Linked DNA regions of Cricetulus griseus. The protein of the gene in region 2 interacts with the protein of the main gene of each other region in a biochemical or structural test. Links are inferred from orthologs where the notes say so. Each region holds a gene or a part of one and is shown on either strand. Other genes may lie near its edges.

What was found.
Region 1: the proteins of Smarca5 (region 2) and Pole3 form a complex in vitro, tested with the Homo sapiens proteins (2 studies listed by BioGRID). The link is inferred for Cricetulus griseus from reciprocal best matches to the Homo sapiens genes SMARCA5 and POLE3.

Annotation. Positions count from the first base shown.
Region 1 is NC_048595.1:83,344,972-83,349,275, reverse strand, and holds Pole3 (DNA polymerase epsilon subunit 3), read right to left. Parts: upstream 2,911-4,304; 5' UTR 2,761-2,910; coding exon 2,695-2,760; intron 2,603-2,694; coding exon 2,517-2,602; intron 2,219-2,516; coding exon 2,100-2,218; intron 1,901-2,099; coding exon 1,731-1,900; 3' UTR 408-1,730; downstream 1-407. Other genes in the region: CUNH9orf43 (uncharacterized protein C9orf43 homolog), read left to right, coding at 3,224-3,247, 3,619-3,715. UniProt on the Homo sapiens protein: Accessory component of the DNA polymerase epsilon complex. Participates in DNA repair and in chromosomal DNA replication.
Region 2 is NC_048596.1:156,511,669-156,515,920, forward strand, and holds the start of Smarca5 (SWI/SNF-related matrix-associated actin-dependent regulator of chromatin subfamily A member 5), read right to left. Parts: upstream 2,807-4,252; 5' UTR 2,397-2,806; coding exon 2,196-2,396; intron 1-2,195. UniProt on the Homo sapiens protein: ATPase that possesses intrinsic ATP-dependent nucleosome-remodeling activity.

The DNA.
Region 1 (4,304 bases), on a different chromosome or scaffold from region 2:
GGGGTTCTTTGTGAAATCTGATTTATAAATTTGACTTATGACTTAACAATGTCTTTTAGAGAGTAAATATAGAGCTGTGGTTAGGAGCTAACCGAGGTAACAGCAATGCTGCTTGATAGGAGTTAAGAATAACACCTGAAAGCACTTAGAACAATGCTAGACACAGGAAGAGCTTAAGAAGTGAGAGCCAGTGAGATATACACAGTAACCAAGAGAATTTCAGAAAATGTTGGCTGTGGTTAAGAGCAGTGTCGTTAGTTGTGAATGCTCACTCACCTGCTGGTGAGCCAAGGAGATGCAGATTGAGTGTGTGTGTGTGTGTGTGTGTGTGTGTGTGAGAGAGAGAGAGAGAGAGAGAGAGAGAGAGAGAGAGAGAGGTTCTTTCTGAAAGTACACTGTTATGAGTCACCATTTTAAACAAGAATGTTCTTTATTTGTAAAAAGCATTAAAATCTTCTCAACAGTCTCATCACTTTCAATAAACTCTTCATTGTATTCACTCAACTAGCTAACAGTATCCAACTATATTACATTACTTTTCAACCTCAAGTGCTCAACTAAGACCAAAAAAAAAAAAAAAAAAAAAAAAAAAAAAAAGGGTGCTTGGAGCACTAAATGGGGAGAAAGGAAAGGCCAACAGACACTTCAAAAGCCACAGCAGTGGTGGCTGTGCTGCTAGATTCCTGAGCACCGTTACATTTACCTTAAGGTTCAGAGGCGTTTCAGGAGAGTAGGACTAAGGAATCTGAGGAACTGGCACTGTGCGACACTACATGGGTTACCAAAGTTCCTAGACTGGAAGATGAATTAAGAAAAGGAGAAAGAGGGGCTGGGAAGCAGAGGCAGGAGATGGAGAGGGAAAAGGCTATGCCTAGAGGAAATAACATCTGGAACTTGTCAAGAGTTCAAGGAATGAAAAGCAGCAGCTGCAAGTCAGGGAGATGGACTAAGCAAGAGAAAACCTGGGATTTTATACCTTCCAGGAGGTAGCACTAAATCCTACAGTGGCAGGCACTGAGTTACCCTAAGATTAAGTCACCTGTTTTTAAGAATTGACACCCTTTTTGGACAGAATTTAATCAACACTGAGAATTTAAGAGTGTATGTGTAGGAGTGCAGCCACCCCAGAAGACTGAACATCTATAGTCAACAAAGAAGGGCTACAGGCTAATTAAGTCTAGAAAACAAAACAAACAAGTAATGCTACCATCCAGTGAAGAGATTACCTTATTCTCTCACAGCCTTTTAGTCATTTCCTAAAGCGCAACCATTCTGACCATTAATACCTATTGCCAGATACTGTACAATCAAACAGGGTGACCATGATCAAAGCCCCATTTCCTCCCCCTGAGCCTTGAGTGCTTCTGTGATCCAGAACACAGCAGGCAAGCAACATGGAAGTTATTACTTTTTTGGAGGGTCAGGGAAATGGGATCAAAAACTAGCTAGCCACATACTTAAGTAAACAAATGACATCAAACTATTTAGTCAGTCAGAATCCCTTATACTAAAAAGTCACAACCTCCAGACTGATTCAGCAAAACAGGTTTCTGTTACTCTGATGCCCTCAGCCTGGCAAGAGCTGGTTTTGATCATTCTGGTCAGTTTTTATTCTGATCTTAGGCACCTGTGCCGAAGATGGCTCTGCCTTGCAGGGAAAGGCTTCGCATAAAAACATCTCAGGGAGGTTGGTCACTCCCATGGTGCCGCAGAGTGCCCATTCTCTCGACTCAGTTGTCTACTTCCTCCTCTTCATTCTGCTCTTCCTCTTCTAGTCTTTCTTCATCTTCATCATCTTCCTCCCTGCTCTTGTCCTGCTCTTCGGAATCTGTCTTTTTGTCTTTGTCCTTCTTCTTTTGCTCGGAAGCTTCCTTCTTGCCTTTCTGCTCCCGCCTGTAAGCTGTAAAGAAGGAGATTATTGTTTAATTAGACAAACTGAGCCACAGGAAGAACAACCAGGCCCACATCATGTATCTGAGATGGTACCAACTAAACAGAGCTGAATCATGACCAATATTGGATTACTAAGATCAGGTGATCAGGGAACGAAGGATGACCAGCTTCCGTGTGGCTTAAGAAACTGAAGAGCGAGTGAATACCTTCTAGGGCTTCTTTCAATGGTGAAATGAACCGCTGGAACTCCATCTCTTCCATGGCTGACAGCACATCACTGGCATTCAGAGTCTTTCGCTTCCCTTTCATTGCGAAGTTGTTCGCACTGGAAGAAAAAGCAAAGCCCTTCAGGAGCTGTCAGAGTGGGTGGGGAAAAGAGACACCAAAGAGGCGGGGTGGGAAAACCCACATCTATCTTAGAGTCATAGGTTTTTGTAACACGACTCAGTCCATTCCTTCTCCGTACAAAGGGATACGGCAACCTTCTTGTTTCACCTGCTTCAGAATTTGCGAGGACTGGAGGGGAGCTGTGAGTCGCTCTATCTACTGAGTCGGGGAACAATTAATGGGGCCATGAACTCGGGGTCAGGATCTCGCAGGGCCTCCCTCCCTGCTCGGCTCACCAGGATGTGGCATACAGAACGAAGACGCTGGCGGCGCGGGAGATGGCGCTCCGGGCCTCCTTGGAGATGTTGACGCCGTCCGGGAGCTGCGAGAGTGGAGATAAACACACACGCGGATCTAGTTAACCTTCTGCCCACTCGTCCGCCCTCGACCCATTCGCCAGCCCGAGCAGCTCACCGCTTCCTTGATGATCCTAGTAATGACGGCGTTGGGCAGATTTAGGTCCTCGGGCCTCTCCGCCATTGCCTCCGCTGGAGCCCGAGCCTTCTCCGCCTCAGGCCTCCTCTTCAGACAGTTCTGGTGTCTGGACTTCCCGCGTCGCTAAGATCTGACCCTCGGAGGCTTCCTTCCCACCCCACGTTGCCGGGTGTCCCACAGTGCTTTGCGCACCACAGCTTCCCTTCTGCACAAGACCCCGCCTCAAGTCGCCGGCGTAGCCAAGTTTTCCAAGTCGCAATGGTTTCGGCTCACTGAGGTTTCCGTTAGCCTCCACGGTATCCTCGACATTCCTCTCCAGGCTCGTTTCTTTACCACGCACTGTCAGTATCGCTGGAGCTTTCCTTCGAAACTAAATTTGGCTCTCTGAGGTTTCCGTCTATTCTCCCATCGTGCCCTGCGCCGCTGCTAGGCAACGGGGGGGCATGGTGCCTAGCATGGAAGGTGAAGGCATAGACTGAGCCTGTGGGACCACACTCCGACGGCCGAGATGGGCGTGGCCTCGCCGGAGGAGGTGGGCGTGACCCTTGGGCTAGGTGGGCGTGACCCCTTGGGCTAGGTGGGCGTGACCCCTTGGGCAAAGGTGGGCGTGGCCAAAGCCTCGGAGCATTTTCTCTCTCTCTGCATTGTCCCTAGAGGTGCAGAACAGAGCACTATTTGGAATCTGCTTGTATCCCGCGGAATCTCGGACTGACACTTGAATCCTTCACTTTTTTTTTTTTTTTTCTTTTTGGCTCGGAACTCAGTGGAGATTTTCTTCCAGTTTTGCTGCATGTAAATTTACCGATGTCCATCTTTAATCTTATTCCCCTCACAACTTGAGATAATCGTATTAAAGATAAACTTTATCTAAATCTTTTTTTTTAATGCCAACTATTTTATTAGGACAGCTGCAATGCTGCCGATATCGAGAGACGCCTGATGAAACTTCGGGGCTCAGTTTGGAATGCTCCGGTACTGAAAGGGCGAGAAGCATCGGATTGTAAGAATGCATCATATTCTCGTTCTCATTAAAAAAAAAACAACCCATGTTAAAGTTGTATTTTTTAATTCATTAAGTGATTCTTCGTACATATTCCCCATTAAAGTCATTACAGGATTTTACATTTTCAATAGTGTTTTAAGGTATATAATTTTCATATCAAGTACAGAAAAAATTCTTCATGAGAAACTAATGTTTTCTCTCGCCCCCCCCTCTGTGAGTGTGTGTGTGTGTGTATGTGTGTCTTCCTCTCTTTTTTCTTACAACATGTTCCAAGACTTGTTTTCCTACTTTTCATGGAGACGTAATTACAAAGACATATTTCTCTATTGGGAGAAAAAAAAAAAACCAAACAAACAAAAACCTCAACCTACCAAGGCAGGTAGAATGATGAATGGTCTTGGTGGAAAGAACTCTACACTTAAAACAGGCCTGGTTTAAAGAAGTCATAAGCCTTAGTTCCAGCCACTACTTAGCTGGAACTGGTGCTGTCAGAAATTTTGATGTAGGAGAAAAGCCAAAAATCTGAACATTATGGACCATTTCATTTTCAAGATGTTCAAAATGCCTGCCAAGCTAAATAAGTCAT
Region 2 (4,252 bases):
TGTGAGTTTGAGGCCAGCCTGGTCTCCAGAGCAAGTGCCAAGATAGGCTTCAAAGCTACACAGAGAAACCCTGTCTCGAAAAACAAAACAAAACAAAACAAAACAAAAAAAAAATGCATTCGTCCTGACATTTAAATGCTACAAGGAAATACAAAACCTCCAACCTAGTTTAACTTACAAAATCCCTGTCAGCACACATTAGAGGTAAAGCACACCCTACAATAATATGTGCTTTCCAACTGCAGACATTACTTTCATAATTTAGTGTCTTCTTTTTCTAACTGCAAAAACTACTTAAGGTCATCAGATACATTAGGCAAGTGTCCAAAACTCAAACTTAATTCTAATTCTACATTCAGCTAACACAGTGGAAAGCAGACTGAAGGTAATAGTCTTAAAAAGACAATAAAATTAACTACAACATTAATAGAAAAGAAAATGAGTGAATACGACTGAGAAAAACAAACTATTGATATTTTTCAATATGTAAAATCGTCAAACTTAAAAAAATGACAGGCCAAGATGTGTGGAAAAGGCTTATTATGGAAACAGATCACACTTCTGTCACATGCTCTATCCAGAAGACGCAGTTTTCTCCTCTGATGAACGAAAATACCACTTATTTCATATCGTAGGTGTTATCTTATTCATGCCTATATTTAAATTTTAATTGAAAGACAGAAACTCAAAAATTAATTTCATTTGGGTTTTAAGTTCTCTTTAGGACTTGTAAATAGAAATGACACCTATTGTGGAAATGTGTGACTCAAGTTACCGCAGAGCAGAATCTGCAAAGCTTAGGCAAGCAAGTGCATCTCTCTGGGGTGAATTGTACATTTACAAATAATTTCCTTCAATGTTTTTGGTGTCCAGACTTCAAGCAGAAATCCAACAATCCAGTTAAACAACTCTACAAGTTCAAAAGACCACTTAAAATCTTATTTAAGGGGCATAAATACATTTTTTGTTTTTGTAGATAGGGTTTCTCTTTGTAGCCCTGGCTGTACTGGAATTCACTCTGTAAACCGGGCTGGCCTCGAACTCAGAAATCCGCTCGCCTCTGCCTTCGGAGTGCTGGGATCAAAGGTGTGCCCACCACTGCCTGGCATCAAATACATTTTAAAATGAAACTTCACTTCAAATTGATGCACTACACTAACACCCCCCACACACACTAAAAGTGATTTCAAAGACTAGCAACACATTATTTCATCCAAGTGATGCAACTGCACCATCATTTCCTTATAGTGTAAATTCTGCAGCAAGGTTCATCTTTAGAGTATTATTCCAATATAAGTGCAGAAATTCTCAGACTGAACTATAGAACAGCACAAAACAAGTCCAAGGCCAAGAATAAAAACTAGAAGCAGTATCTTTGTTCCCAGGCAACTCAAAGCCTGGGAGCATATCCAAGAGACCTGTCTGGCAACTCCCCCATTTTTCCACCCTCTCCCCCATTTCCAGCATTGTCATCATCATCTGGCCCACTCGAGTCCCAGATGGTGGTTCAACGGCGAATTGTCTGAATGGCTTTAACAGGAGGTAATTCGCTGGGCTAGTAGCCCACCGCCCTCCCCCGATGCTCCCATTCATTCATTCATCCGTCCGTCCACCAACCCCTAATTAGATGGGGATCCGGGACAGGTGCTGCGGCTGTCACGCTGGCTCGCTCGCTCGCTCTCCTCCCGGTAGAGCGGGGCTCGGGAGGGGCCTCCCCTTGCTGCAGAGGCAGCTGCGCCCCGCTCATCCCCACTGCGCATTCGGCCCTCCAGCTCTCGCCATTGTTTCTGCCCACGACAGACAGATGCCGCCCCCGCCAGCACCGGGATGGGGCACTGGAGGCCCAAAGTCCCCGGCTGCGTGCGACGCTGACAAACGTCGCGCTCGCCCCGTGAATTCCACGGCGAAGGGGCCAGCTCCCTCGCCCTTCCCCAAAGTTTAGTGCAAACTAAAACCCAGATCCGGGGGAAACAGAGCCCTTCTGAGGGCGTCTAACGCTGGGGGAAACCGGGTCCCTCGACCACGGTAATCAGGAACATGTGTTTCCTAAGAGCGGTCGGCGAGCCGCCTAGGCTACTACGCGGAGGGAAACGCAGAGGTGAGGGAGGCAGACTCAGCGCCAGCGAGCGGGCAAGCGAGCATCCATCTCCCTCCCTCCTTCCCTCCCTGCGCGCACGCCCGCCCGCCGTGCTCACCTCCATGTCGGCGTCCGCGGGGCCCGCGCCCCCCGCACACGATGGAGCCGCAGGCGCCGCCACGGCCTCGGGGCCGCCTTTGTTGCCGCCGCCGCCGCTGCTGCTGCTGCTGCTCCCGCCGGCGCCCGCGGCCGCGGCCTTGGGAGGCGCGCTCTCGGGAGGCGGGGGCGGCGGAGGCTCGGCCGCCGACGACGACGACATGTTCCGGCTGCGTCACCCGCCGCGGCCACGGGCAGGCGCGGCGCGGAGGGAAGCGAAGCGGCCTGGGCCGGCCGGCCTGCCTGCTCGACTCTGGCGCCCGGGCCGACCGAGGAGCGAGCCCCGGCCGGAAGTTCTCACGCGCGGCGGCTCCGCCACCGACCCGAGCCGGCCCTGCCGCGGAGCTCGCCCCGACCTCCTCTTCCGCGGGACCCGGCTCCGCTCCACTCCGCCGGCGTTGACTTCACGGCGGGAATCACGTCGACGAGGGTGGGCGGGGCCAGCGGGGTCACGGAGGTCAGGGAGGGCGGGCTGACTCCGGGGAGACCGAGGGCTGAGGGCAGGGGAAAGGAAAGCGAAAGGTTCTGCGCGGCGTCCGGGCGCCTTCTCCTCGCCCCGCGTAGGTTCTCTTCTCCAACCACCGGGACAGCCGCCTACGCCACCCGCTCTCAACCCTCGCGAGATCGCTAGTCCTCTCCCTCCCCCCACCCTTCAGCGGCCGGATCGCGAGAGCGCATGCGCTTGCTCCTCCTGGGCCCCGCCTCCTCCAGCCCGCCCCCGAACTGCGGGGGGGGGGAGTGGGCGGGGCCTCGAGGAAGCGCGTCGGCGTAGGTTTGCGAAGGTGTGCGTGACGCGAGCTGGGCGCTTCTTAACGGCTCTTCGGCTCTCGCCGCGCCACAGAAGCCGGCCTGGGAGCGGCGCGACAGCCCGGGGACTGGCCTTCACCGTCGCGCCGCCGTCGCTCACGGCCAGACGTCACAGGTTCCCTCCAGTGACGTCGGACGTCCAAGAAAAAAATGCCCGCCCCATCAGCCATCCCACCCTTCCAGAGTTTATGGACTGCGAGCCTGTGAGATCCGGAATGGCAATAGCTGGGGACAAACGATGGCGTGTATTTTTTCCACGAGCATCAAAGAAAAATGTGCGTTTTTGTCTGCTTAAGAAATGTTTGTCAGGGGGCTGGAGAGATGGCTCAGTGGTTAAGAGCATTGGCTGCTCTTCCAGAGAACCTGAGTTCAATTAATTCCCAGCACCCACATGGCAGCTCACAACTGTCTACAACTCCAGTTTCAGGAGATGAACACCAATGCACAAAAAATGAATTTAAATAAATTATTTTTTTAAAAAAGTGTTTGTCAAGTATGTAACGCACGCCTTTAATCCCAGCACTTGGGAGGCAGAGGCAGGTGGATCTCTGAGAGTTTGAGCCCAGCCTGGTGTACAGAACGAGTCCCAGGACAGTCAGGGCTACACAGTGAGGCCTTGTCTCAAAAACTAAAAAAGAAAAAATTCTTAGCCAGGCGGTGGTGACAGAGAAGCCCTGCCTCTAAAAATTATTGGTGTTGCTTCTGCTTAGGCTGTGGTGGAGGCTCTGAGGCCTTGTGTCCTCTCCTGTGTCACCCACCTACTTCCCATTCATGACTTAGTGGCCACCAATATTGAATAAATGAAGTCCTTTCAAGAGTTAACTAAAACATGTTGAATTTCAAATCTCTTGGAATAAATAACATATGTAACACGAATGTTTGAACTAGTCGAATAATTCTCTAATAAAAACTCTCTGGAAGTAAGTGCTTCTGAAAGCTGCAGTTGTAGGTCAGTTGGTGGGATGCTTGCAGAACATACTGCTTGCAAACATCCTGGGCTTGAGCCCCAGCCCATTTTGATCCAGTGTGGTGATGCATGCCCAGAATCCCAACACTTGGGGAAGTGGAGACAGGGGGTCCACAGTTGGCTGCTAGACCAGTCTGGACTAAATGAGATCTTATCTCCAAAAATTTGTAAACAGAAACAAAATATTTCTAGTATATAACAATGCTTACATATCTATATGATTAAATTCAATAATTCTCATAATC